Tamandua tetradactyla: one gene and its partners. The protein of the gene in region 1 interacts with the protein of each later gene in a biochemical or structural test. Links are inferred from orthologs where the notes say so. Each region holds a gene or a part of one and is shown in the gene's direction. Other genes may lie near its edges.

Evidence for each region.
Region 2: the proteins of UBR5 (region 1) and OTUD5 form a complex in vitro, tested with the Homo sapiens proteins (2 studies listed by BioGRID, with this or other methods). The link is inferred for Tamandua tetradactyla from reciprocal best matches to the Homo sapiens genes UBR5 and OTUD5.
Region 3: the proteins of UBR5 (region 1) and PAIP2 form a complex in vitro, tested with the Homo sapiens proteins (2 studies listed by BioGRID and IntAct, with this or other methods). The link is inferred for Tamandua tetradactyla from reciprocal best matches to the Homo sapiens genes UBR5 and PAIP2.

Annotation. Positions count from the first base shown.
Region 1 is NC_135332.1:146,897,025-146,906,994, reverse strand, and holds the start of UBR5 (E3 ubiquitin-protein ligase UBR5), read left to right. Parts: upstream 1-5,861; 5' UTR 5,862-6,085; coding exon 6,086-6,147; intron 6,148-9,970. UniProt on the Homo sapiens protein: E3 ubiquitin-protein ligase involved in different protein quality control pathways in the cytoplasm and nucleus. Mainly acts as a ubiquitin chain elongator that extends pre-ubiquitinated substrates.
Region 2 is NC_135353.1:121,200,368-121,210,534, forward strand, and holds the start of OTUD5 (OTU domain-containing protein 5), read left to right. Parts: upstream 1-6,002; 5' UTR 6,003-6,406; exon of another isoform or gene 6,407-6,587; 5' UTR 6,588-6,864; coding exon 6,865-7,458; intron 7,459-10,167. Other genes in the region: A-type voltage-gated potassium channel KCND1, read left to right, coding at 93-176, 269-367, 628-878, 2,155-2,380. UniProt on the Homo sapiens protein: Deubiquitinating enzyme that functions as a negative regulator of the innate immune system. Has peptidase activity towards 'Lys-48'- and 'Lys-63'-linked polyubiquitin chains. Can also cleave 'Lys-11'-linked ubiquitin chains (in vitro).
Region 3 is NC_135346.1:19,193,000-19,202,860, forward strand, and holds the start of PAIP2 (polyadenylate-binding protein-interacting protein 2), read left to right. Parts: upstream 1-5,914; 5' UTR 5,915-6,064; exon of another isoform or gene 6,065-6,115; intron 6,116-6,561; exon of another isoform or gene 6,562-7,865; intron 7,866-9,861. UniProt on the Homo sapiens protein: Acts as a repressor in the regulation of translation initiation of poly(A)-containing mRNAs. Its inhibitory activity on translation is mediated via its action on PABPC1.

The DNA of each region.
Region 1 (9,970 bases):
AGGAATAAATATTTTTTTTATCATCACAATCGAATTTTTTTTTTTGTAAAAAAGAACATAAATACAAAAAAGCAATAAATTTCAAAGCACAGCACAACAATTTGTTGTAGAACAGATTTTAGAGTTTAGTATGGGTTATAATTTCACAATGTTAGGTTTTTACTTCTAGCTGCTTTAAGATACTGGAGACTAAAAGAAATATCAATTTAATGATTCAGAAATCATATTCATTTGTTAAACCCTAGCTTCTCTGTATAACTCCACCATCACCTTTGATTATTCCATACTTCTCGTTAGGGGTATTCGGGCTATGGCCATTCTAACTTTTTCAACATTGGAAAGGGCTATCAATAAGGGAGACGGGACTAACCGATGTTCTGGAGAGGCTGGGCCCTCTAGGCGTTAAGACTTATCTGGTCCAGGGACCCATCTGGAGGTTGTAGATTTCTGGAAAGTTACCCTAATGCATGGGACCTTTGTAGAATCTTACATATTGCCCTAGGTGTTCTTTAGGATTGGCAGGAATGGTTTTGGTTGGGGGTTGGCAAGTTATGATAGGTAGCAAGGTCTAACTGAACTTTGTGTAACAGTGACCTCCAGAGTAGCCTCTCAACATTATTTGAACTCTCTCAGCCACAGATACTTGATTAGTTACACTTCTTCTCCCCCTTTTGATCAGGATAGAATTGTTGATCCCATGGTGCCAGGGCCAAACTCATCCCTGGGAGTCATCTTCCAGGCTGCCAGGGAGAATTTCACCCCTGGATATCATATTCCATGTAGCAGGGAGGGCAGTGTTTTCACTTGCAGAGTTGGGCTTAGAGAGAGTGAGGTCACATCTGAGCAACAAAAGAGGTCTTCCAGAAGTAACTCTTAGGCATACCTAATAGTATAGAACTTCACAAATGCTTTTTCATCCTCTGAGATGACTTAATGATATTTTTCCTTTATTCTTTTGATATGGTGAATTACATCGTTTGACTTTTCAAAGGTTAAAACACTCAACTTGTTCATAATAGATTGTCCTTGCTATATAATATTAAATTTGCTTTGCTACTATTTGTTTAAGATTTTTACAACTATGTTAATAAATGAAATTGGCAGATAATTTTCCTTTCTCCTAATATCCTTTTCAACTTTTGATATCAAGGATATGCTGGTCTCATGAAATAGAACTGAGTGGTGTTTCTTCTCTTTTTCATTTTTCCCAAAGAGCTTAGGGAAGATTGATACTTTTTTTTTTTGCATGGGCAAGCACTGGAAATCGAACCCGGGTCTCTGGTATGGCAGGCGAGAATTCTGCCACTGAGCCATCTTTTTAGCTGTTTGGCATAATTAAGAAGTGAAGCCATCCTTTCCCAGAGTTTCTTTTGAAGAAAGGTTTTAAATTAGAATTTGATTTTTTTAAATAGTTATAGGACTTATCAAGTTTCTAGTTCTTCTTGAGTCAGTTTTTGCCAATGGTATTTTTGCTCTCTGTAATTTAAACCCTGTTTTCATTTGTAACAGTTGCCGGAATGAAATATATCTGAAATGAATGGCTTTTAAAAAGGGAAATTTATCAAGTTGCAAGTTTACAGGCATCCAAGGAAAGATACCTCAATTCAAGGAAGGTCGATGGGTCAGACACCAACTCTGTCAGCTGGGTAGTCAGGTGGCTGGCTCTGCTGGTTCCTTGCTCTTGTTACTTTCAGGCTCTGTCCCTGTGAGTGTTCCTCACTTTGCTTCTGTGGAGCCAGCTTTCATCTCTTGACTTCCCTTGGCTCTCTCCAGGTTCTGGCTTGCTTAACATCTCATGATGATGTCTGCTAAGCTCCAAGTATCTCCAAACATGCATGTTTCTGTTCTCTGAAGTAACTGATCTCCAAGCATCTACATCTGTTCTGTCATTGCTGAGGCTTCCGACACTTCTGACTCTCCAAAATGTTTTCTATTTTAAAGGAATCTAGTAAACTAACCAAGATTCACCTGGAATGGGTGGAGGCACATCTCCATCTAATCAAAGGTCACATCCACAACTGGGTATCCCACATCTCCATGGGGATATTCTAATCAAAAGTTTCTATATACAATGTTGAATCAGAATGAAAAGAAATGGCTGCTTTGACAAAATTGGATCAGGATTAAAACACGGCTTTTCTGGAGTACATGATAGATTCAAACCAGCACAAATCCCTACTGTTATATTCTGTCAACATTCATATACCTATATATTTTCCCTTTTCATTCTTCATTCCCATTTGGCTCTGTGATCTTATACTGGGTAATCATTTTCCTTTTGCCTGCTAATTTTTTCGCACATTTCTTTTTTCTTTCTTCCTCCTTCTTCATTTTCTTTTTTTTTATGTATTATTTTAATTTTACTTTCGGTCTTGAAATTCTTGAGAGTTTTCTTTGGCTTGCAAATGGGCAAGGCTTGAAGTGTCAGCGAATTAACAATCCAGGAGCAACCCTGAACTTCTTGGGGAATGGAGTTGATCAATAAATTTCTATATGTCCAGTTTTCTCCCCACTCAGTGGGACAATTCTGAGTGTGTTCCACACAGTCTTTTAGAGGGTCCCCAATGAGACTGAACTCCAATTACCCACAGTGGTAAAACATTTATCAGGATATACTGTTTATTGGCTTTTCTTCCTTCCCTGGCTCATTTCTCCAGTTCCACACAGTGCTTCCTAGGGTCACCTCCCAAATAAGTAACTTTACCTCCAGTTCTGCTTTTGGGGAAATCAAATCTAAGACATGGTCTATCTCAGGGATCCAGCCCTTCAAGATCTCAACACAAAGTAATAGGGGCTCATTAGTGCTCCCCACTGCATTAAGGGCCCAGACATCAATCCCTGTTATCTTAGCCCTGAGTGCTGGTCAGAAGAACTGCTTAGCATTTTGGCTTTTTAGCCTATCTTTCTGGAATTGATATTTATCCCTAGGAGAAAAAGTGGTTACAAACACAAGACTCACCTTCCTGGTTCCATTCTTCCCTTAGGTATTGATTTGGTAATTCATTATTATTTTGTTAGTTCTCTTGTGCCTTTGGGCAGATTTAAATAAATATTTTGTTTAACTTTTCTAATTGTCCTCAGAGGGAGATTAATCCAAATTATCAGAAAGGAATTTTGACTCTTCAAAGAGCTTTTGCCTGTGCCTTGTTTATCTTTATTCCCCTATCTCCATTTCCTCTACCCCCACCCATGCCATGGACTTTCACAACCCCGTGCCTTTATCTTGTTTTCCTCTGTCCAAAATGTGAACCACCAAAGTGTAGAGTCCTGGAAGAGGAGGATTGTCCCAAACATGCCAGCCTGGGACAACAAAAAACATCAATGCCAAGGTAGTTTTTAGTCAAAGATCAAGTGGGCAGTTTGAATGGGCTGCCAAGAGGCCAGACTTCAACAAGGCGAGAAAGTCACAATTCTAGGAAACTCGGCATGAGTAAATCAAGTCAGAAGCAGGGTGGAAGCAAAATGAAAAGAAAAAGATGAAGGACAGATTTGGAAAAAAGAGAAATGAGGCAAGGTATGGTCATCGTGTGGAGCTGGCTCATAGGTACATTTAAAAGGATCAGGTTTAAGCCAGGAATTATATTTGGCCAGAACATTCTTGAGGGCTCAGCTTAATTCTCTTGGCTGGAATCACTTCCTCCTTTAACTTCCATAATACTTTTATTATATTTATCATATCACTTTTTTACTGTTGACTTTGAACAGTCTGTTCCTTCTAAATTTTTAACTACTAGATGGCAGCAGTAGAATCAGAGTCAGAAGATCTGGGATTAACTCTCAACTTCAGCACCTGCCTATGGTCTCTGGGCCTCAGTGTTCTCGTCTATACAATGGGGAGAATATTATTTACACCATAGTGTGACTTGAGGATTAAAAGACACAAAGTATACAAAATGGTACACAGTGAGTTTTTCGTAAATAAAAGCTTCCATTTGCTGAACCTATTATGAACTGCTCTAGGTGCATGAGATACATTATCTCACTCAGACCTCACTATGACCCTTTGTAGCTCTATTATTATGGAATATTTTATTAATAGAGAAAAAAGAATCTGATGGGTTAAATAGCTTAATCAATGTCACAATGTCCTGGTAAGTTACAGAACCAGGACTCAAATCCAGGTCTGTTCTGGCTCTAAACTAGCAGTCTCTATTGGGCCACCCTGCTTCCCCATATTGGTCTTGAACTCACTTTAAAAAAAAAATTAATTTTATTAATTTTTAAATTAAAAAAATATATAACACAAACATTAACATATGATCATTCCGTTCTAATAATCAATAATTCACATCATCACATAGTTGCATATTCAGCATCATGATCATTTTTTAGAACATTTGCATCAATTCAGAGAAAGCAATAAAAAGACAACAGAAAAAATTCATACATACCATACTCCTTACCCCTGCCTTTCATTGATCACTAGTATTTCAATCTAAATTTATTTTGACATTTTGAACTCAGTTTTTAGTCTAAATTAATCTGGGCCAATCTTGGAGATGGTGACCTACAAAAGTGTTCCTTTGTATGTCTCCAGGGATACCTAGCCTATCCTGATTTATAAATTTTCACACATTTCGCTCAAAGGAACTTCCTAAGCAAAAGAGTGTGTGTTTATGTTATGCATTAAGAGGGGAAATGTGACATTTCTACTTAAATACATTTTACATGACCCCTAACTTACGGAACATCCACACAGACTGGACAAGATGCTTTATGTTTTCAGTTTCTGTTCTTAAATTCCTTAAGTTTGAGAGTTCCTCAGAGCTTCTTGTCTTTTTGATGAGATTATAGGAACCCAGAAAAAAGCATATAGAACCATTAAAAAATTAATGTATAGAATTATATACATTATATGTATATAGAATACATACATCATCTTTCATTTAAAAGTAATTTTAAAGAATCATGAATCATTTAAATCAGGAGATTTGAAATTTCCACATTTTGTTTTTGTGTTAAGTGAAGAGGGTGGTGATGGGGGAAATTGGGAAGCGTAGGATTATAAAATAAGTTGCTGCAAAGTCAGCTCCATGATCCTACTATTACCTTCTGGGAAGGTCCTTACATAACTACCTTACTTCTCCAATAAAAATAAAACTGTTTATTTCTTGCTTCTTAACTGTTTTTACGCTGCCACTTGAAATAAAACTGCGGATGCAGGACGAAAAAACAAGGAAAACCCCCTACGAGTCCGCAAAATAATTAGGGTTGCCCCAGGGAAATCATAAGAAGCATACAAGAACTCCTCTTCCTTCTTACACACACACACACACACACACACACACCCTCCCTCCAGAGCTCGCTCCCCGCCGCCTCCTAGCTAACACGTGCTCTCCTGAACACTCACTCCGGAGATTCGCCCCCCCGGGGGGGCTGGGCTCGGAAGCCGAGCCGGCCAATCCGCACGCGCCTTACAGCGTCGTGGCCCGACCACGTTGAGCCGTCCAATCGAAAAGGTCTTACCGCCCGTTTCCCGGAGCCCCGCCCCCTCTCCGTCGTGCCCCCGCCTGCCGGTCTCCTCCCTCCTCCTCCACCCGTTCGCCCCTCCCCCGCCCCTCCGGAGCGGAGCCTGCGAGACGGAGAAACTGGGGCAGAAGTGAAGATGGCGGCGGAGGTGCTGGCGGCGGCGGCGGCTACGGCTTCTCGCCAGTGACGCGCGGTGCGGGCTCATCTCCCTCGCCACCTTCCCTAGTCCGGACCCCGTCCGCCGCCGGGACCACACCGACCCCGCAGCCCGCCCCTCTCCACCCTTCCAGTCGCCCCCTTTCCCGACTCCCGGCTGCCGCTGGCGGCGGCGCGCCTCGGGTCCCAGCCGCCGGCCTCGCACTCCTTCGACCTGTCGCGGGGGGAGCGGGTGGCGTGTTGATCCGCCCTCCTGCCCTCCCCGCCGGGCCGCCGGGCCGCGGACATAACGCCCGGCAGGGAGGCGGCGGCGGCCCCTGCGCATTTGTTTCCCTCCATTTGGGCACTGGGAGGCGGCGGCGGCAGTTGTGGGTTTTGGGGAGGGGAAGGGTATTCGGGGAGGAGGGTGGGCGAGAGAGGGAGAGGGCTGTCCCCGGGAGGAGGACGAGTAGGAAGCACCATGACGTCCATCCATTTCGTGGTTCACCCGCTGCCGGGCACCGAGGACCAGCTCAATGACAGGTAAAAGGGCCGGCCGCCGGGCGAGCGGGGGAGGGCCGCCCTCCCCTCCCCCACGGGGCCGCGCTGGGGCGAGCGCTGGTGTTTACGCGCTGGCCGACCGCTGTTGGGGGGCGGGGGGTGGACGTGGTCCTTGCTGCCCTCGGTTAGGCCCCTTCTAGGGCAAACTTCTTGTCCCTGGGGCCGGGGGATGCGGGGGGAGCGCGGTGTAGACGAGGGACGCGGTGTAGACTGGAGAGAGCGCTGCAGCCCCCGCCCAGAGGAGCCGCGTTGAACTCGGTGGAGATGGGGGGCTCGGTTCCCGGGGGCGGGCTGTAATTACCGCCCAGGCCCGAGGAATCCATATTAGTCAAAGTTGAATTGAGACAGACAATGCGGATGGGGGATGGTGAAGGTAAAAAGAGGGAAGAGGAGAAGCGGAGAAGCGGGGCTTGGGGCTCGGATTGGGCTGGGGCGGGCTCGCCCCGGCCCCTAGGAGCTCTGTCCGGAGGGGTGTACGGAAGCCACCAGGCTTGGGGATCTCGGGAAGAAGCCGATTCCCGGCAGATCGGGGTGGGGGTGGGGTGCGCCGCGAGGGAAGCAGGAAGCGCCATGATTATTGTTATTATTATTAAATTTGAGCCCCTGCAGTGAGCTTTGCCAGCCCGGGGAGGGAATGAATTCCACAGGGGGTGGGGGAGCGGGTTCTCTTTGCTCTCTCTCTTCCGAAACGGTGCTGGCAGTTCATCCTCAAGTCTCTTTGGTGCGAGCTTTTTTGTTTCCTTTTTTATTCTAATGATAGTGTTTTCCTGAGTTGTAATTTGACAGCTGAAGACCGTGCATAGAGTCAAAGGAAAACTCTTACGTTTGCAATTCGCAGTGTTGCTTAACGCGCTGTACATTTCTGAGATGGGTTTGCTATGAGCGGACGAGGAATTATTATTTTTTTGTCTTTTATAAGAAGGCTGTTTTCGCTGTGGATTCCTCTTCATCTCTTCACCAGCGTACCCTGCCAGTTCAGGATATTCAAATTGCAGGGCCGCCTGCTCACCGGGAACTGAGATAAAGCAGGAAAAGTTCCTTTACTGTTGCAAAAACAAGAGACTCAGGAGGTTGAGAGAGGCCTCCATTTAACCATGCTTTAAAATCTAGGGCTCAGATCTAGTGATGGGCATAATGTTAAAAGGGTCAGAAAATGGGGCATTTAAACTCTTCCTCCGCTCCAGGGCTTTATCTGCTATCTGTATTTCTTTTGAATGTAGAAGCCATTTGGTCCCAAATTTAGAAGTTAGGTATAAATTTTTGCTAAGTGACCCGATGACATAATTTGCATGACGCCCTGTTTGTCATTCACTTCAAAGAGGGAAGAGGAGGCTGAATTTGCTGTTAAGATATTGTCTCTGTCTCAGTGTATGTATGTAACCGCCTCAGGTCGGCCAACAGCTTTTGTATCCAAAAGCGGGCTGTTTAGTTTCTGGCACTGGGTTCGGATTTGTCTGATCTTGGCTGTAGCCATATTGTATTTAACATGTGTGTGAAACTTTTGAAATACTTTTTGGAAATGTTAACTATTTGGAGTTGTCACATAGTTCCCTTAAATATTGAGATAACTTTTAAGCTTTTAAACGTTTTGTCATGTGCTCCTTACTATGATTTTATTTTGTTAGAGATCTTTTTAAGACTTCAGCATAAGATTCTTTGTAAATGTAGAAGTCATCGTATTAAGACCAGGCTAGTAGTAAGGATAGGTTTAATGTCGTTCACAGAACCATGTCAGTAGCGCTTAACTTAGAAAATTATTTTCTATATTACTCCTAACGTTATGTATCAAGAATCCTGACTAGTTTACTCAATTGGCTATGCATGTCAAAAACTATTTATTTTACAGTTGTGGTAAATGGTTCATTTTTGCACTTTTTAAATTTTGCTTCATTGAGCAATATACAAGTTATGTCTTTTTTAAGCTACCTTTTCCATGCCTACTGCAAGCAGTTTATCAGCTTATGTTTTTATTACTGTGATGTCTGTGTGTAATATTAAGAATATTTAATCTTCTTGAGTTTTCACTTCCTGAAACAAGGAAAAAGACAAGTGGATTTTATTCAGATCATAAAATGTGTGCATCATTGTGAAAAATATTTGAAAAAGGGAGGTGTTGTACGTAAAATTTTAGGGCTCTCTAGTTGTATCTAAAATGTCTCATCCATGTAGATTTATTTTGTGAAGGCAGTATTTGAGACAGTTATGACCCTGTTTTGAAGTAGTTGACTTGCGGTGGGAGCTGTTCTGTGTCTCCCCTGCAAAAGAAATGATCCTCTTTGCATACCTACTCGCACAGTTATAAGATCAGCTTTTTGCTGCATTGCTTGAGAAAAATCTTTTTTTGAGAGTTTTTCTTTCTGAAACTTTTTAATTGACTGTAACAAGCAGCTCAGCCTATTTTCAACAGATACAAACTTTATTAAGGGTTACTAAGTTTGGGGAAATAGAAAGGAGTGTGCTAATATAGTTTGATTTTTGTTAATTTATTTTTTATTCAACATACAAACATTCTTACAATGTGATCATTCCATTCTTGTTATATAATTAATAACTCACAATATCATCACATAGTTGTATATTCATCATCATGATCATTTCTTAGAACATTTGCATCAATTCAGAAAAAGAAATAAAAAGAAAACAGAAAAAACCCCATACATACCATACCTCATACCCCTCCCTTTCATTGATCACTAGCATTTCAATCTACTAAATTTATTTTAACATTTGTTCCCCCTTTTATTTATTTTTAATCCATATGTTTTACTCGTTTGTCGATAAGGTAGATAAAAGGACCATCGGACACAAGGTTTTCACAATCACAATACAGCTTGATTTTTATGAGAAACATGTCTATGATAGTCTCAAAGTGAAAACTAAGTTTGGGCTGGAAAAGGGTATAAATAAGTAGACTTTATTCTTTATATGGAAAGCAGTAAGATTAGACAGGCAGTATGATAGAGCAAATAAATTGTTAAGTTAAAAATTTGGGGGCCTTAAAACGTCAATATTCTTCAAATATGCTTTCTTTTAATATCCAAATTCTGTCAAAAGCCATATATTTTAATAGTCTGATATCTCAAACATCTAAAGTGTACTCAGCATTAAGAAAAACAGTTGTATCTGATAATTTATTCTTAACTTGTGTTTCTAAGTTTGCTAATACTGATAGTCTGCATATATTGGATTGTAATTTGTGCCTAATTATTGGCCCACAGAGACCAAATAATGAATGAATGAATGAATGGGGATGGTTAAGACAAAAAGAGAGAAATGCAAAGTCTGGGATGTTGTGGCTTACACATGTGATTATAAGGTCTCTGGCAGGAGTGGGCAGCCGCTCATAAATATTCATTCCGTTGAATTGAAACCATTTAGTGCTCTAATACTTTTTTATTTTTCTGATGAATATCCTGGACTTAGTGCTGGGTTCCTACTTAAAACAGAAAGTTAGGGCTGTGTTCCTGTTTAATACATTGTCTCAGAGAAATAGCAAACCAATACCAAATTCATGGTTCTGCATGTTGAGCTTGAAGGGAGAGCTGAAAGTGACTGTTCAGGACAACGAAGTCCTCTCACTAGGCACATGAAGAAACAGGCCCAGAAAATGTACAGAATTTATTCAAGGGCACACAGTTACTGGCAGATGAGGGCCACATCTTGGGTCTTCTGACTTCCTTTTAATTAAAAAAATTTTTTTTTCAGTTCTGGGTTCTTAACACTGTTCGACATAGATGGTATTCCAGAATACTTTTGCCGTGAGAGATATCCCAGCCTTTGTACCCATCTGTCTTAGATTTTTTTT
Region 2 (10,167 bases), on another chromosome or scaffold:
TCTGAGCCCCTCCTATCCCCCCTCCACCTTGCCACCAAAAAACAACTCTTGGGTTTTCCTACCTGACCTTTTACCGCCTCCTCTCTCTGTAGAAGGTACGCTTGGCGAGGATCCGGTTGGCAAAGAGTGGTACCACCAATGCCTTCCTGCAGTACAAGCAGAATGGGGGCCTTGAGGTCGGTAGGGTCCCGGATTGGGTGGGAGGGGGTTGAGCAATGACAGGAGAAGGAAGGTGCTGACTTGTTCCTCTCTGTTCTGTCGACTCCAGGACAGCGGCAGTGGGGAGGAACAGGCACTATATGTCAGGAACCGTTCTGCTTTTGAGCAGCAACACCATCACCTGCTGCATTGTCTAGAGAAGACAACGGTGAGGCTTAATGAGAGGAGGTGTGGCACAATGAAGTGGGGGTGGGGGTCAACACTGTTGCCAAGCTAGCTCCGTACCTGGAATGGGAGGCTCACTACTAATTGCGGAAATCCTGGAGGACTTCCTGGAAGAAGTCACGAGAGAGCCGAGCCTTGAAGGGGTGGACAAGGAAAGGGAAGTGAGAGTGACTTCCAGAGAGTGGGAAGGTGGGACCAGCCTCTGTGGTGTGCCCTGTGATCTTGCTTCCCTTCTTCCCACAGTGTCATGAGTTCACGGATGAGTTGACCTTCAGTGAGGCCCTGGGAGCTGTCTCCCTCGGTGGCCGCACCAGCCGGAGCACCTCGGTGTCCTCCCAACCAGTGGGGACCAGCAGTTTGTTGTCCTCTTGCTGCCCCCGCAGGGCCAAGCGCCGTGCCATCCGCCTGGCCAACTCCACTGCCTCAGTCAGCCGTGGCAGCATGCAGGAGCTAGACACACTGGCTGGGCTGCGGAGGAGCCCTGGCCCTCAGAGGTAAGCATCCCTCTCACCTGCTGGCCATATCTGGGGTAGTGCAGATCTTGGACCAGGAGGTCTGAGATTTCCTGATTCTAAGTGCAGCCAAATCAAGATGGAACCCGAACTCCTCCATGTTAGGTATGGAACTCCTTGTTCTTCATTCATTTATTGAGCACCTACTGAATGCCAGGCAGTTTTAGGCACATGGGTTGAAGCAGTGAACAGAACAGACAGAAAACCCTGTCCTTCTGGACCTTATATTCTAGCAGGATGAGACAGTTAATGAACAAACACATATGCAGATTGTGTAGCATGTTAAACATTTGTAAACATCGAGGAGAAAAATAAATCAGGCTGGAGTGATAGAGTGGAGACCAGGGGCTAATGCAGTTTCAGCAGTGTAGTCAGGAAGGGTTTACTGAGGTGATGTCTGAGCCAAAACTTGAAGGAGTTAAGGGAGTGAGCCAGGGAGATATCTAGAGGAAGAGCTTTATAGGCAAGGGGAACAGCCTGTGCAGAGGCTCTGAGGCAGGACTGTGTCTGTATGTTAGAGACACAGCTTCCTACTGTGGTTGGAGTGGAGTGAACAATGGGGAGTGTGGTAGGAGTCAAAATCAGAAAGGAACGCAGAGGGGGGCAGATTATGCAATACCTACTGTAGGCTATTGTCAAGACTTGGGTGTTATTATGAGCAAGCATAATAAGTGACTTTTTTTTTGCTCTTAGTAAGAGGTTGTAAAATTTTATTTTTTTAGATAAGTCAAAGGTTTACCGAATAATCATGCATAAAATACGTACAATACCAAGTTCCCATATACCATGGTATTATTGAGACTTTGCCTTCATGTGGTATTTTTGCTATAATTCCTGAAAGAACATTTTTATCATCGTACTATTACCTATGGTCCATCGTTCACAACAGATGATATTTGTGTGTGTGTGCTCATTATGTTCCCAGGCCCTGTTCTGAGCACTTTATATCATTCGTTATCTCATCTACTCTCCGTAACAACCCTAGGAGGTAGGAAATATCATTATTCTTTTGTTACAGATGAGAGGAAAGAGAGGCTTGGAGTGGTTAAAGTGGAACCGGGATTTGAATCCAAGACTATCTGACTCTGGAGCCCGTACTCTCTACTACCATGATTGAGGATATAGGGGAAGCAGTTAGCACAGTGCCAGGTGCTTGATAAATGCTAGTAGGAGCTCAATAAATGCCATAATTACTGTGGCAATGATTAAGACATGACTTTTTTAAAGAGCCTTCCATCTTCCCCACCCTTGTCCACAGCCGTTCAAGCCTCAATGCCAAGCCCCATGACAGCCTTGACCTGAACTGCGACAGCCGGGACTTCGTGGCTGCCATTATCAGTATCCCTACCCCTCCTGCCAACACCCCAGATGAGAGTCAGCCTTCTTCCCCTGGCGGCGGCGGCAGGGCCAGCAGCACCCTCAGGAACTCCAGCCTGGGTACCCCTTGCCTCCTCTCTGAGACTGTCAAGATCTCTTCCCTGTGAAGGGTGGGCCTACCCAGCCAGAGGGCCCTCTCAACTCTTGGGACCTCCTTTCCAAAGCCATATTTTGAGGAGGCACAGAGGGGTAGGCCTGGGGACCCCTTCTGCCCTCCAGTGAGAACTATGCAATGGAGTTTCATAGAACTGCTCACCTGGTAGGGAAATAACCAGGAAAAAGGAAACTTCTCCCACTCCAGATGATTTTCCTGGTGGGAGCTGAAGAGCTGGGTGTCTGCAGGCCCCCAGCTTCCTTGACCCAGCACTTGGGGACTGGTCCCTCTCCCCTAGCTGGCCCCCCGCATGCCCCTACTCTCAGGCCCTTAGAGGTAGGTAAAGCTCCCATCTGTCATCTTAGCTCTGGTCCCAGTAGGAGAGCTGAGATTTTTTTCTTCTTTCTGGCTGGCCTGTGGAGGTTTGGGTGTTCAGAGAACATAACCTTCACTTCTGATCTGGTTGCTAGGAGAGGTCCCCACTCTCTACCAGGCCCAATGACTCCCAGACCCTGAAGCTTGGAATGCAACCACAGGCTTCCATGGGCTATGGCCTCAGCAGTGACCTGCCATCCCTAGGCCTTGTCTGAGGGGTCAGGTCACCCCTGCCAACACACACAGATAGCACAAACACCTTTTTCCCTGGCTGCTGGAAATGGGTCCCTGCAACCCGTCCTCTGCCGGGCCTCCAGCAAACTCTAGCAATAGCAGCTGCTGCTCTGACATTATGCAAAGCCTCTGCCCAGTTTGCTGCAGCATTTACATTTTCCCTAATCAGAAGGGCCACCTCTAACCATTCCTCCCTTCTCTTCTCTGGTTTGCTTCCTTCCTGGGTTGGGCTGGAGGCTGGACTGACTGAGATAAGAGTCTAGCAGCCAGCAAGTGCTTGGCTGTGTGTGGAGATCTTGGGCTGGAGTCCAGAAGCATAAGGGATCTGAGACCTGGGTTGGTCCTGAACTCTGGGAGTTGTAGGAGGCAAGAGGAACTTCACGATCTCCTCCTCCTCCTCCCCCAAAACTCCTTTTCACATATTCTTCTCTCTTCTCCCTCTTGGGTCACCTTCTGGAACTCTGTGTCTGCTCTCAGGCTGAATTCTGGCATCATCTCAGGTTCCCTGTCCCTAGCACTGTCCCCGTGGAGCTGGTGGCTGACAAAGATGTAGTTTCCATCAGTCAATAAAATCTGAGAGGAGAGATGAGGACTGAGCTCCTCCTGGCTCTGGGGGCTTGGGAGCTGGGTTGGGCTGGCGGGTTAAGAACACTCTGATTTCCATTCCTTTCAACTAGTAGAAGGGCTGGTGTGGTTAAGGTATAGCAGGTGGATGGTTAATGATATGTTCTGGAAGATGGGGATCTAGGAAAATGCCCTGGGACATACCCCTCGGACATTATCTGATTATTCAAGATGGGGAAACTGAGACCCAGGGGAGCACATAGCTGGTTGGAGGAGACTCAAACCCAGGTTTCCTGGTAGCAAGCAGCTCTGAATTTAATCCTAATGAAAAGCATCCCTGAGTTTGGTGCATTCCTTTTCCTCGTGGAGGTCCCCTACATTCTCTCTTTTGGGCTACTGATTATACTAGGTTGGTGTATGACTAGACTCTGTGGAGCAACAAGAAGACAGACCTTGAATTCAGGTTGACCTGGGTTTCAATTCCTGGGTGAGAGAATCACTTACCTTTTCTTGTCTGTCTACTAACCTGTACAATAGAGATAATCACTCATTTGTTCACCAAATATTTATTAAACACATATCACACGTTTATTCTAGGGATGCAAAGATGGGTAAAGTGGACGTTGTCCCTAAACTAGAGAGTTGAACACAGAAGGCAAAGACAATTAAGCAATTACAATATAGTGTGGTAGAAGAAAGGTAGATGGGTTACAAGAGCATAGAGATGGCAGGAGAACCTAACCTTGCCTACACATGAAAAATGAATTGGAGTTAGCCATGCAAAAGGCAAGGGGGCGGAAACGACTTGGGCAGAAGGAACAACATATGCAATGACCTGGAAGTTAAGAGAGCGAGCTCAGGGTATATAGAGAGCTGAAAGTACTTCAGTATGGCTGGGGAAGAGTTAGGCTGTGATGAGGGTGAGGATGTAGAGGTAGGCCAGGTCACAAAAGACCTCTGAAGCTATGATTCAGATTTTGGACTTCATCCTAAGGTTAATGGGAACATCTGTAGGCCTATCCACAGGAGAGTCATGGTGAGGCTCATGTTTCAGAAGGCTGTGAAATGTGGAGTTTTATAGAGCGAGAGTCCTGGAGGCAGGAAGAACAGTGAGGCTTTTCAGTATATAGTTGGGAAGTGATGGTGGTTTGGACCAGAGTAATGGCGGGAAATTCGGAGTCAAGAGATTTTGGAGGGAGAATTGGCAGGTTTGGGTTGACTGGGAGTTGAGGGAGAGGGTAGCAGTCATGGTTAAGTCCCAGTTTTCTGGCTAGGGCAACTGTTGGATGGTGGTGCCATTCACTGTCAAAGGGAACATTAAGGCTGTTAGCCACACAGAGCCAGGAACATAGTAAATACTTAGCAAAGGTTAGCCATGATTATTCTTAAGAGCTCAGTTTTACATGTATAGTGCTGAACAAATATTCAGTAGGAAGTGGGATATGGCTCTGGAGTGAGATAATCTCGAGAAGATTCAGTGTGATAATGTGCATAAGTCATTTGACATAGTGGTCCAGGAAATGTAGGCCCCTAAATGTGTGCCCCTCACTTCCATAAAGTTTCATGAGCAGAAAACACCCCTAGAGCCCGTTTATTACTGGCACCCCTCAGGGAAGAACTTGAACTTGCTAGGCATCTGAAGGGAGAAGATAGGTGGCTTTCAGACGAGATTTCTGATGGTTTCTCTTTCAACCTGTTGTATAGCTTGCCTCCTAAGATTACAAGGACCGCTCACGTTTCAGAACTTTTTGATTCATGAGCCCATCCATCTGAACACCATAATTACTCCCTGAGGTTGTCTAGACAAACATTATCATTCACATTTTGCACGAGTAAACTAAAACAAAACAACAACAAAAACAATACAATGAGTTGCCTAGGGTCACACATTTATTTGGTGATGATCCATCCGGGACTGGGATGGAAATCTTGTCTCCCGAACCTGGGATCCTTCCACTGTACCGCCACGGAAACAAAGTTACTGAGCACTATGTGCCAGGCACAGCACCAATCCCTTTACAAACATCAATCTCTGATCCTCATTTTTAAAAAACCGGAATCATCGTTGGCATTTTAGAGAAGTACAAATTGAAGACGGTGCGTGCGTTAAATGACTTGCCAAGGATCATTCACACAGGCAGGGCAGAGCTAGGATGAGCTTGCTGCTCTCCAGCCGCTCAACAGCAGGGATTTTTTTACCAACCCCATTGTGAGACGCCAGCCAGTGACAGAGTCGGTTTGCAAACATTCACTAGACCCAAGCAAATTCAGTATTTCAGAAAAATGCTGTGCCGCGCCTGCGCTTTAGCTGAAGGGGCGGGGAGGTCAACGCGAGGGCGAGCTTGCCGTAGTGCCCAGAGAGGGCGTGTCTGCTTCCCAAACACCTACCGCTCCCTCGGAGGTTGCGTTTCTGTCCCAAGGTTGGCCCTTCCGACGTGAGTGACGGCGTCTCCTAGCAAACCAGCGCAGAATCCGGCCTGTTGCCAGGGTGAAGCGGCACCCGCCTCTCTGCCTGATGGGTTTTTGCAGGTGGGTGGGACCGGAAAGACGTTGCAGGGGCTGCTTTGCACTGGAAGTGTTGATGTTTTCCAGTCAGTCCGGCTGACTGCGGCCAAGAGTGCGAGCCTGGAGGTGAAGCGTGCTCGTCACTCGGCGCGGCACAGGCCGCACTGGCCTTTCGCAGTACCCACACCTGCAAAGCAGAGCCTCGGGAAGAAAAGCGAAAGGCAGGACGAGGTCAACGGGAAGAAAAGCGGGAAGCAAGGGTGCAGACTTTGAAGTCTCAAGGTGGAGGGCTCGGAGGGCCAACGCTCGCTCCTAATTGGCCCGTGGGCGTCGTTGAGAACCCGCGCAGCTGATCTGATTGGTTGGTGCCCGTAATTGTTGTGGCGGCAGTGGAGATTTTGCCCACGTACTTCCGAGCGAAGGGCGGGCCGGTATCCCGGCGCGCCTGCGTAGCGCCGCCCAGGCCCCACCCGGTAGTTTAAGAACCTGCGAAGGGGGCGGGGCGAAGAGGGCTTGTTTTGGTTCTGTTTCCCTCGAAGCAGAAGGCCGAAACGAGCGTAGCAGTAGACGTGCTGGACTTGGAGAGAAGGCCACGACAAACTCGCAGCGGTGCCTGCATCTTGGACTTCACATCCGATCTCTGCCAGCGTGACTCGGGAGCGACCGACAATTCTCGAACCGGCGTCTCAATCCCTTTATCCGGGTCCCGCCGTTCCCGGCGTGCTTCGCGCACCATCGTAGAACCCCCCCCTTCCCATCCGGGTCCCGTCCCGGCGTGCCGCGCGCCGGGTTTGCTGGGGGGTACTCCGTGGTGCAGCCATGACTATTCTCCCCAAAAAGAAGCCGCCGCCTCCCGACGCCGACCCCACCAACGAGCCGCCGCCGCCTGGGCCGCTGCCCCCGGCGCCGCGCCGCGGCGGGGGTGTGGGCGTGGGCGGCGGCGGCACAGGCGTGGGTGGCGGGGATCGCGACCGTGACTCGGGCGTAGTGGGGGCCCGTCCCCGGGCCTCACCACCACCGCAGGGCCCGTTACCCGGCCCACCGGGTGCACTTCACCGCTGGGCGCTAGCCGTACCGCCTGGCGCTGTGGCGGGTCCCCGGCCGCAGCAGGCCTCTCCGCCTCCGTGCGGGGGTCCTGGCGGTCCCGGCGGCGGTCCCGGCGACGCGTTAGGTGCAGCGGCGGCGGGCGTGGGCGCGGCGGGCGTGGTGGTGGGCGTGGGTGGTACCGTGGGGGTGGGCGGCTGCTGCTCTGGGCCGGGGCATAGCAAGCGGCGGCGTCAAGCCCCTGGGGTTGGCGCGGTTGGCGGGGGCAGCCCCGAGCGAGAGGAGGTCGGCGCAGGCTACAACAGTGAGGACGAGTATGAAGCGGCCGCAGCACGTATTGAGGCCATGGACCCTGCTACTGTCGAGCAGGTAAGGGCTTGGGAGGTGGTGGTGGCGGCGAGTGGTGGGTGGTATGGCTGATGGGATCCTCAGACTGGTTGGGGATCGGAGGAAGGCTCGTTTCAGATCACCTCGAGGGACCTGAGCTTTCTCTCAGGGCCTGGCACCCCTTTTTCTAGGGGTAGTGGCCCGAGACATCACTCCCTTCAGAGGACTCTGGGTTAGAGACCTAGATAAGATGGGGAACTTAAAGATGGGGTCTGAAGCCTCTTCTAGGGTTCATAGTCACTCGGGGCTTTAGGCTCTCAGCTGATAGGGCCAGTAGGTGAGAAACCCTCAGGGGACACTGGCCGGATGAAGAGCCTCCGGAGGAGTGGGAGTGGCTGATCTCAGGCCTCTCTCCAAGGTAACTAGATCTATGTTCCGTGGTTCAAGATCCTCTTTCCCCGGTGATAAAAGCTGGAGACTTCTCCTCCGTGGAACTCAAAGGAGGTGGAGACCTTAGTGATGGAGTCTGAGCATCCCAAAGTATTTAAACCTTTTCAGGATTGTGAGACATTTTGCCTGGGACAACCCTCACCTTCCCTCTTTCCCAGGGAGATACAGTATAGGATTGTTCATTAGTGAGGTCTGAGACATCCTCAAGGGTCCTAAGGTTGCCTTTAGGGACCTGAAACTCCCCTTTTCTAGAATCAACAGCCTGACACACATACATGCATACTCTTTAGAGATGATACAAGGTTTTTTGCCGGGTTATAAGACATCTCTTAGGGAAGTGAGAGCCCCCTCCCCCTTGGGGACAAGTGCCAAAACCTACCCCCAGGGACCAGAATCTCTACTCAGGTACATGAGACTCATCTTTCCTCTGAGTGACAAGGATCTGTGCTTTCCCTTAATGTATTGAGACTACTACTCAGGGAACATGGGCACCATAGTGTTCTCAGGGATGGGGTCTGAGGCCTACCCAGGGATCTAAGCCTGCCTTGAAGGGCCTGAGTTCTCCCATTTTGGGGCCACGGACCTGATACTCACTCTGCCAAGGAGACTTGGAGCTTTCCCTCAGGGACAGGAGACCCACATACATACCACAGTATGGCTGTGTCTCTAAGGATGAGGACTGGACTTCTCCCTCAAGGAACAGGAGTATTCTTTCCACCCCACCCCCTCCCCCAGAATGGAGCTCTGAGATGTTTCCCTTGGGACATGGGATACATGGATGCAGAGGCTTGAGTGTCCCCATCCCCATGGTCCCCCCACTTAAGCATTTGAACTTTCAGATACATAAGATCCTCCCCTCTCAGGACCTGAGACTTGAACCTGTCCTGAGGATACTGTCTGTCACCTCATCTCAGACAACATACACACACCCAGGTCATAGGCACCTTTATGGATATAAGATTTCTTGCCTTGGAGACTTGTGTCTGAGAATCCTCTCCCCACTTGTGAACTGAGTCCTGAGAACTCCCCATTCAACTTGGGGACACCAGGTAGGGTGAGATTCTGAGACACAGGCTCTGAGCCTTTTTCCAGGGGCCTGACCTTCCCCTCAAATTCAAGAGATCTTTCCCCTTTTGAACTGGGGCTGGAGCCTTCTTTGAGTGTGCAGCTCCCTCATCCCTCCCTCACCCCCCCCCACCAGATAATTCATTCTCACCAGGGAAAGGTACCTAAGGTTCTCCCAGCGTGGCCTAAACTTCCTCTATTGAACAGAACAGCCTGAGTGCCCCTTCAGGGTCATAAGAATCCCTTACCCTAAACCCTCTCAAGGTTAGGGCCAGGAAGGTTCCCCTACTTTCTAGGGGATCTGTCCTGGGACATGGAATCTGAGGCCTCCCTTCAGGAACTGGAGGTATTCTGAGTCTGACTCTGACTCAACTATGCTTGCTTCCCACTTCCACAGTCTGGGAAATATTCTAAGCTTCCTGAACTCCTGTATTTGAGAAGCTTTCTTCTTTTCAGGGATAGGGAAAGGGTTTGGGGCCTCCCCACTCCAGGGAAATTCTTTTCCCACATCCCACTCACCCTTGATGCACTTCATAGGGACCAGGGCCTTTTCTTGAACCTTCTGTTCTCATTCTCTTTCCACCCATCATTTGTTGTTTTTTCTCTCCTGAATTGGGGTGAAGTCTGCCTTTCCTCCCCAAAGGAATAGGGAGTGATCCATCCCTGGACCCAGGGAGAGAAAGAAAGAAAGTCCTATGCTGTCATGATGGCTAGAAAAACGCCTCCCTTCACCCCCTTTGCATCTCCTAGTTTGGGAGTCCCTCCCTTCTGCTTTTTCTCATAAGAACAAGGAGATAAAACCCTGTGGGCTCATGAAACTTTCACTTCTCAGTGACAGAGGAGAGGCTTGTACTTGAAGCAGAAGAAAATGCTCCTCTTCTCCCTGCTTCGGCTGGTCTAGCCTTTAGACTTTTTGCTGACTGTAACTCCAGTCTTGGTCCTGAACTGTCACTGGAGGCATTTGTAACCTGGAGATCAATTGAACCCTTTGGAAAGAGGGGAATTGTTGAGGGGGAGCCCAGATAGTGAATCTGGCGCCCCACTCAGGTTTTCTGTTCATCCCAATGCTGTGAACATACATACCCCTGCTTACTTTAGGAGACCTTTTGGTACTTTGGGGTCCAGGTGCTAGGGTGGTGGTGATGTTAGGGATTTCCTTTCCCAGGTATGGCTGCCTTGCTGAGAGTCTTCCCTATAAAAAGAATGGCTTGTAAACGTCCTGAGCTTAAGTACCTC
Region 3 (9,861 bases), on another chromosome or scaffold:
TTCCATATGTTCTACTCGTCTGTTGACAAGGTAGATAAAAGCATCAGACATAAGGTTTTCACAATCACATAGTCACATTGCAAAAGCTCTATCATTATACAATCATCTTCAAGAAACACGACTACTGGAACACAGCTCTACAGTTTCAGGCACTTCTCTCCAGCCTCTCCATTACACCTTAACTAAAAAGGTGATATCTATATAATGCGTAAGAATAACCTCCAGGATAAACCTCTCAACTCTGTTTGGAATCTCTCAGCCATTGACATCTTGTCTCACTTCACTCTTCTTCCTTTTGATTAAGAAGGTTGTCTCAATCCCTTGATGCTGAGTCCCAGTTTATCCTAGGATTTCTGTCCCACGTTGCCAGGAAGGTCCACAACCCTGGGAGTCATGTCCCACGTAGAGAGGGGGAAGGCAGTGAGTTTTTTTTGTTGTGTTGGCTGAGAGAGAGAGAGGCCACATCTGAGAACAAAAGAGGTTCTCTTGGGGATAACAGGCCTAATTTTAAGTAGGCTTAGCCTATCCTTTGCAGGGATAAGTTTCATGTGAACAAACCCCAAGATTGAAGGCTTGGTCTATTGCTTTGGTTGTCCCCACTGCTTGTGAGAATATCAGGAATTCTCCACATGGGGAAGTTGAATTTTCCCCCTTTCTCACCATTCCCCCAAAGGGACTTTGCAGATACTTTTTATTCACTGTTCAAATCACTGGGATCAGGGCATTACTCTGGACAGAACCAACAAAATCTCATGCCCTACTCAAGATTTCTTGTACTTATGGTGTTCAATTAAACTGTTCTAGTTTGCTAGCTGCCGGAATGCAATATACCAGAAATGGAATGGCTTTTAAAAAGGGGAATTTAATAAGTTGCTAGTTTACAGTTTTAAGGCTGAGATAATGTACCAGTTAAAACAAGTCTATAGAAATGTCCAATCAAAGGTATCCATGGAAAGATACCTTGGTTCAAGAAGACCGATGAAGTTCAGGGTTCCTCTCAAGTGAGAAGGCATATGGCAAACAGGGTCAGGGTTTCTCTCATCTGGAAAGGCATGTGATGAAGATGGCATCATCTGCTAGCTTTCTCTCCTGGCTTCCCTTCACGAAGCTCTCCCGGGGAGGCGTTTTCCTTCTTCATTTCCAAAGGTCGCTGGCTGGTGGGCTCTCTACTTCTCGTGACTATGTTGTTCTGCTCTCTCAGAATCTCCTGAATCTCCAAAATTTTTCCTCTTTTATAGGAGTCCAGAAACTAATCAAGACCCACCTGTATGGGTGGAGACACGCCTCCATCTAATCCAGCTCAACAACCACTCAAATCACATCTCCAGGGAGATGATCTAATTATAGTCTCAAGCACACAGTACTGAATAGGGATTAGAAGAAATGGTTGCTTTTACAAAATGGGATTAGGATTAAACATGGCTTTTCTAGGGGTCATATACATTTCAAACGAGCACAACTGCCCACATAAATTATATTAGGAAATGCACTACTCAAATTATAAATTTTGTACCAAATAAACATTTTTTGCTTTAGTCTTACACATAAGTTAAAGCAAAACAATAAATTTCAAAGTACATTGTAACAAGTATTTATATATAAGAGATCTCAAAATTAAGAAAAAAGAGGGCGGGCCACGATGGCTCAGTGGCAGAGTTTTTGCCTGTCATGCCAGAGACCCGGGTTCGATTTCCAGTCCCTTCCCATGCAAAAAAAAAGAAGCAATTTCAGGTTTTCTAGTTGCTCAAATTCACTAGAGACTAAAAGAAATAAATGATTCAGTGGTCATACTCGTTTGTTAAATACTAACTTCTCTGTTATATCTCCTCATGTGATCCTTTTCCCAATCTTTAGAGATTTTTTGGTTATGTCCATTCTAACTTTTTTCATGTTGAAAAGGGATGTCAGCAATATGGGATAAGGGGATGAAACTGGCTGATGTTCTTGGAGAGAATGGCACCTCTGGGTTTCAGGATTTATCTGGACTAGGGACCATATGAAGGTTTTAGGTTTCTGAAAAGTAAATAATGTACGCAACTTTTGTAGGTCCTCAGAGCCCTCGGTGTTCTTCGGGGTTAACGGGGCTAATGATGTTAGCTGGGGTTTGATGAACTGTGGCAACTAGCAATATCTAGCTGAAGAATAGATACCTTTATATATATATATAACATTCAAAAGAGCAATACATTTCAAAGTACATTGTAACAAGTAGTTATAGAACAGATTTCAGAGTTTGGTATGGGTTACAGTTCCACAATTTTAGGTTTTTCCTTATAGCTGCTCCAAGACACAAGACTAAAAAGAAATATCAATATAATGATTCAACAGTCATACTCATTTGTTAAATCCTAACTTTTCTGTTATAACTCCTCTTCCTTTTATCCTTCTCTCAATCGTTAGGAGTATCTGGGCTATGTCTATTTTAACTTTTTCATGTTGGAAAGTGTCAAAGATATGGAATGGGGGATAGAACTAGTTGATATTCTTTTTTTTTTGATCAAATGTTATATGAGAAAATACAATTACTTAAGAGGAACCAAGACAACTAGAAAGGCAAGGAACAAATGTGTTGATCAAATGTGATATGAGATTACTTCACGGTACTGAAAATAGAAGGTAATTAATATTTAAAATTTCAAAAAAAATGTGATATGAGATATGGATTAAAAATAAATAAATGATGGGAACAAATGTCAAAATAAATTTAGTAGATTGAAATGCTAGTGATCAATGAAAGGGAAGGGCAAGGGGTATGGCATGTATGAATTTTTTTTCTGTTTTCTTTTTATTTCTTCTTCTGAATTGATGCATATGCTCTAAGAAATGATCATGATGATGAACATACAACCATATGATGATACCATCAGTCACTGACTATACATGTAGAATGGAATGATCATATGGTAAGAATACCTGTGCTTGTATGTTGGTTTGTTTAATAAATTAAAAAAATTAAATATATATGTTATATGAGAAAGTGTAATTACTTACAAGGAACTAAGAAAACTAGAACTCAGAAAACATGGGGGAAAAGGCCAGAAATAGATTAAGGACAGATCATTTGAAACTGGCCTAGATGAGATGCCGCTGCCCTGCTGAGACCCCCAACTGCATTTAAGAAGAGATATGCCACATGTGGCAGCAGTCCAAACCACTTACTCCTGAGGTTGGGGATGGTGATGGAGTGGCAGCAGTAACACTGTGCATGTCCCAGACAGTCTCCAAGATACCTGTCAGAAGCCCGAGTACTGTCTGCACTTGGTCCAGCAGCAGCTTCTGCAGCTCCTCCTTCCGTGCAACACTGAGGTCCTCCCAGGAACAAGCCAGCTCTTCTGAAGTCGTCTTCAGCATGATCAGCCCAAGAGGGGTTGTCACAGGGGACTGGATCAACTGTAAAATGTTAGTAAAAAAGTCGTGGTAGAACATGGGCCAGTCCTGACGGCCAATATCAACAATAACTTTGCAGAGCTTGTTCCAGATAAAGGTAAGGTAAGGTTTTGTGGTGAGCCAAAAGGAGTTTGGGAAGGCAGCTATGGATTTCCATCTTATCCTGAGAGGGGACCCCAAGCCACATTTTATTGATCAAATTCTCAAAAACTGTTAAACTGTATATCATTACATAGTCATTCCTAGTGCTGGAGAGAAAATACAGGCAGAACCTCCAGGCTCCTGTCTGCTGGGCAGAGTTATCAAGAAGCTTCTCTATCTCACGTTTTCTTTCATTGGTCGTACAATTATGGAAGAACTGTCATCAGACTTTCCAAAGCCCCGAGGGAGGCTTCTTCAGATGACATGCTGGTCTGGGGAGGGTGCGGCTCAGGTGAGCTGTCTCTCGAGCTTCGGACACATTCCGCTCACACAGTTCAGGTCATGGTCCCGGCAGTCTCGGGGAGTCCCCCGCCCATGCAAAGAAAAACTCTTACCTACCCGGGTCCCACGGGGGCCCTCTAAAAAGAGCGTGGTCCCCCGGCCCACCTCAACGGGAGCCCCCGGGACAATTTATCCAGACCCATCCGCCTCTGCCCAGGGTAACTGAAAGAGCAGGAAGTGGGGCTCAGTGGCCCGGTGTGGAGAGCGGCCGGCCCGAGGTAGGTAGGCTGCGGGCCCAGGCAGGGGCTCCAGGCCTCGGCGGACAGAGATTGCGACGGGCCGGGCCCCAAGGCTAAAGGAGCGGAGGCCGAAAGGCCCTCAGCAGCGCAGCTCTGGCGGCTCGCTCAAAGGAGAGGCCGAGGGGGGGGGGGGGGCGCTGTTCTAGCCACTTCAACCCACACGGCTGCCGCCGCCGCCCGCCCGCCGGAGCATCCCTGCTCGCTCCCGCCCGGAGACGCCCGCTCGCAATGCGCTGCCGCGGCGGACCAACAGCCCCCTAGTTGATATTTTTGCAGAGGCAGGCCCCTCTGTATTTGAGGACTTATCTGGCCTAGGAACTCATCTACAGGTTGTAGGTTTCTGGAAAGTAATTTTAGTGTGTGGAATTTTTGTAGAACCTCAGCTAAAGCTCTAGGTGTTCTTTAGGGTTGACAGTAGTGGTTTGTTGGGGGTTGGCAAGCTGGCAATTAGCAATATCATGATTAGCTTTTAAGAGTGGGTCAATTACAGATAATCTAAAAACCTATTTGATTTTTGTTCTCCCTCCTGTTCATGCATCTTCCAGCCTCTGGGCTGATAGCTTATCTCTCAGGTTCCTCATTTTACATGAATTATATACTTCACAGACTAGTAAAACAGCATCATCTCCTTCCTCCTAGAGCTGTATGCTTTAAGACAGCAAAGCCAAACTTTTTCTCCCAGGTTAGGATACAGATGTGCAAATATGGCCAAAGTGGTTGGCCCAGGGGCTAGGGCAGAACGCTTGTGTTTTTCACTTCTTTGGAGCTTTGGAACTGATTCAAAGCAGGTTTTCAATGAATGAAATGGTCCTCAAAGGGAATAACATATTTCTGGATTCATTCCTTCCCATGGTGGGAATTTTTGTTTGTTTTAATAGATATTACAAGCATATGATAGAAAAGTTTCTGAAAGATTATAATAAAAGGTGAATCTCACCCATTTTCAGGTTCATCATTTTCCCTTCCACAGGCAAGAAATGATCAGTTTTGCGTGTCCTCTTTCAAATGCAGTACATATTCAAAATTTCTTTTTTTCTTACAAATATTGTATTCTATTCTGTACTTGACTCGTTTCACTATAAAAATGCTATCTTGGGGCCAGCGAGGAAGCATGAATTAGACTAATGAGCAATATGAGTTAGCGCACCCAGGACCATGCCCTAGAAAATCATAGAGCCTTGCGGTCTCAGCTTTCTACCCTGGTTCCACAGCTGCTTGGGAACCATGTATTCCTATATTTCGTCTCTGTGTAAAAGGTCCAACTTCAACAGAGTGTGTGCCTGTATATGTCCGAATGCAGTTGCTTGTAGATCATCTATTATATCCTCTGTGTTTGAATTAGTTTATGTTTATTATATTTCTGTGTCAGGATCTCGATGTGAATAGGTGCTTGTCATTGTTAGTGTGACACTATCACTTTTGGCATGTATATCTGGGTGTGTGAATGAGCTGCATCATTATTTAAATGTCAGTGTATTTAAGAGTTCACTTCTGGATATCTGTCAGAATCTATTTTTGTCCCCAGATCCCCCACCCATTGTATTTCATCTTTCCCAAAGAATGAGAGGCGTGGGGACACCGGCCCCGCCCCTATTCCCGCTTCTCGCACTCCTCCCAGTGTTCCCCATAGGGCTCCCAAAATACCTCGCGGCCCGCCACGGGGTTGCGTACAAACGGCCATTGCGCGTGCACACACGTGCAGCCTCGGAGACTAGGAGACCTTTGAGCGTACTGTCTCGCGCGCGCTCTAGTGGCCCGGGAGAGCAGAATTGACGGCGGGTGGGCGGGGCCTGCGGAGGGGGAAGTGAAGTCACTTCCGGGCTGGGGTGTTTGTTTGGACTGAAGAAGGGAGGCGGCGGGCGAAGCGCACGTCGAGCGGGGAAGCGGCGCTGCCTGTGGAGATCCGCGGAGGCCGACAGGATTCGTTGGCTGCCGTCCCCGCTGTCGTGCACTGGGTGAGGGATCCCCTCGGTCGGTGCGGCGAGAAAGGTGCAGCGGCCCCGGCGGTGAGGGACAGTACCTCAGCGACGCTTGAGAGGCCTAGAAGGTCCCCGGCGGGTTGTTAGCTACCGCTCCCCTGTATGGTCTCCCTTGTTCCTTGTCCATTTCCCCCGAGTGTGAGGGACAAGCTTGAACTGACTTCACTTCTTTCTTCTCTGGGAAATGGCCGTCGTTTTTTTTTCTCATTGTCATTATTTATGATTTGGGGCTGGCAGCTTTCTATCCGGGTACTTGGTGGAGCGCGGGGCTTGCCGGGATAGCACTTTCTCCGGCCCCCCTCCTCTGCGTCCTCCCTCCTCCCCAGTCCCTTTTCCCTCCGCCTTTTCCCTGCCCCCCACGCCGCCTCGGCAACAAAGCTCATTGTTTCTACCCACTTTACGCCTGCGCGTCGCCGCGCGCACCCCTACTCGCTGCGCTTGCGCGCCCCCGCCGACGTGAGGATGGGGTGGTATAGGGAGAGAAGGGGACAGAGGGACTAGCTGGCTAGCGTGTGTTCTAGTGGAGCGCCTGGAACCGTTGGCGGTCTTGTACTTTTTCTGAGCCCCTTTCTACCATTTCTTCGCCTTTCCTTCCCCTTATTTTTAGTTAAATTGTATCCCATGCTCTGAATAGTAGGACCTTTGTCTGGTGTACTGAAGACCCTTACTCCAGGCAAACTTTGAGCTACATGAACTTTGACGGCCCATCCAATTGACTGTCTTGGATTCTGATCCTTTTACCTTTTAATTCCTCTCTAATACTCTGTGTTTACTCCTGTACCCGTCCCCCAATAGGACTTGTGGTGAACTTTTCTTTTCAAAACGTTTGTTGAAGCAGCCAGTAGTGGTATTTTCTAATGATTCATAGAAGGAGCCGTTTCTGCTTCCTTTTGCTGTCCTGTGATTTTGCAACCCCGTCACCTCGTGAAAATCCACACTCGAAAGAATTTAGCTTCCAGTTTCACTTGGGAAAAGGTTTAGCATAGCTGAACACCGTTGTTCATTTCAACAGAAGACAGATATTCCCGTTTTGTATGTGTAGGCTAATCCTGTTTTTACCCTGGTGGCATTGTTTTTCACAAATTGCATTTGAGCCGTTGTTTAGGTGTTGATTTTCATTTTTGCTAAATAGGCTTGGAACTTATCTGCTGCAGTTTGTGTTTGCAAATAGGAAATGGGTCTCTGATGATTTTTAATGAGAATCCCAGTGTTTTGTCATTTTGTGACTGCTTTCTGTTTGTGAAAAATAGGGTATTTGGGACAAATTAGTCTTTTTACTCTGCTTGTTGATTGTGAACGTGAGCAAAACTTCACTACTCCTCATAGATAACTATCTATCACAAATTTAGATAGATACTTAACCAAAAATGGTGTTTCTCTTTCTTAAGGAACTGGAGTTAGAGAATGGAGACTCACTGTAATGTTTAAAGTCTTGGGAGCGTTTTTATTATAATATATTGCTCCTTAAGAGCTCAAATTGTAGTATGTAATTTCTAACTTGGGACAGTGTAGGTTTATAGCAGACTTACGTGAATAAGCACCCTGTGCCTTCTTCAGGTTCATGCCTTTATGACTCTAGAGCTTGGTGATCCAGTTTTGATGAAGATATAAACATTTTATGAAATGTTTACTTACCACAGCAGTATTAGTGAATATTGTGGGATATTAAAGAAGGTAGAAAATAAGGTCCCTGTTTCCTTCCTTGTAATCTAGAGAACTTTTATACTCTTACCTCTATATACCAAATATTATCACAACAGCCTCTGAAGTGAGCAGAGTAAGTTTATCCCCCTATATTGAAATTGAGGAAATAGATTTTATTTTTATTTTATTTAGCAAATGCTTATATAATACTTAGTACTACTAGATATCTTTCAAGTGTTTTTATAAATATTAACCTAATTTAATGATCTTAATATCTCTAGGAGGTAGGTAATACTTTAAAATAAATATAACAATTAAATATTAATTCACCCGCTTGTAAACAGTTAGTGAATGCTAGAATTCAAATCCAAGTAATCCATAGATTGTGTGCTCTTAACCATTATACTGTGATGCCTGTGATTCAATGACATATCCAATGTCCATCTGGTATTTGAACCTAGTTCTTCTGCCTGGTCCAACATTAAAGTTGTCCAAGTTATCACCTTTGTGATCTGGACCACCATGTTGCACAAGTGCATTAATAATTTGCATTTGAGGCAGCCTGAGGTTCAGATCCAATAATTCATTCTTTTTATCTTTTCTTAATACTGTTGTAGAGAATAGTAAGGTAGCTGCTGACTATAGTGGGCATTGAAATGTGGCTTAGTGCAACTGTAGAACTAAACTTTTGTGTGTACATTTAAAGTTGTAGAGCCTCATATGGCTAATGGCAACTTTATTAGATAGCATAGGTTTAGAGGGTTCGAAATGCCTCTTTATTATTTTTTATATCATTTTATAAATAAGGATGGCGTTTCTCATGGGCATTGAGCTTTTAATAGTGATGATAGGCAGTACTGAGCCTTTTTTATTCTTACCTGATCACCCTGGTTACACTACAGTTGAGATTAGGGTTATAGCCTCAGTTTGGGATTCTTTGTGACATTTTTCCTCTCTACAGTTTTAGGACCTGTGATTTCTGCTTTATACCTTGTTCTAACAACTTTTGCGTACTCTAAATGTTTTAATAAACATTTTTAAATGTTATGTGCCGGGCTCTGTAATTCTTACCCATATACAGAAGAGGAAACTGAGTGACAGAGGTTTCCAAGGTCACATAACTGAAAGGCAGCCGAATTCCAGACCCATGCTTTTTTTTTTTTCCCCATGGGCAGGCACCAGGAATCGAACCTGGATCTCCCGGCATGGCAGGCGAGAATTCCACCACTGAGCCACTATCGCACCACCCCAGACCCATGCTTTTAATCGTTACTTTATGCTGTCTATACTGCCAAACATTAGAACAAAAAATTCAGTAGTTCTGATATACTTCTGAATACAAAACTTTCTTGATTCTCTCTCACCAACTCTGCTGAAGGGACTACTAGTTTAATAAAAGTTTGAATTTGTAGATTGAAAGGGTTTGCTGACTGACAGGCAACATTAATAGGAAAAAATTACTCTTGTCTAACCAGAATGGTGAAATTTCTGAATTTAAGTGTTAAAACATCTGACGCTCTCAGCTGAAACAAGATATTTATAATGTAAATTAATTTTTTATAACAGTATACTCTGGGATATCTGTAGATTATTGAAGGAAAGGACTGAAATTTAAGACTCAATAATATTTTATTTTATTCAAATATGAAGGTAAAAGACTTTTTTGGCCGTGTAGTAGCTTAGAAATATATAGCCCTTAGTACCCTTTTGAGGAAATACTTTAGCTTAGTTAAAACTCAACCAAAACAATTTAGGGGAAGATGGTGAGTACAAGAAACAATGATGAGCAGTGAATCTCGTAAAATGTAAGTACAAGATAATATGAATTGTGTTTAAACATTCTTTAAAATGATAGACTATAATTTAAAACAATATGGATCTGGTAGTGCTAAATTATTTCCACCAAGCTCAGAAGATGAGGGGGGAAGAAAGAAGTGGGAGGAAAATATTTCATAGAACTAGCAAAGAAAATATAAGAAAAGTAAGCATGAAATTATGAAAGAAAACATAAGCCAAATGTCAGTTATCAGAAATGTTAATTCTAAATATAGATGATTAACCCTAGTACATACACATTATCATTTTTATTTATTTTTTGGCATGGGCAGGCTCCGGGAATCGAACCTGGG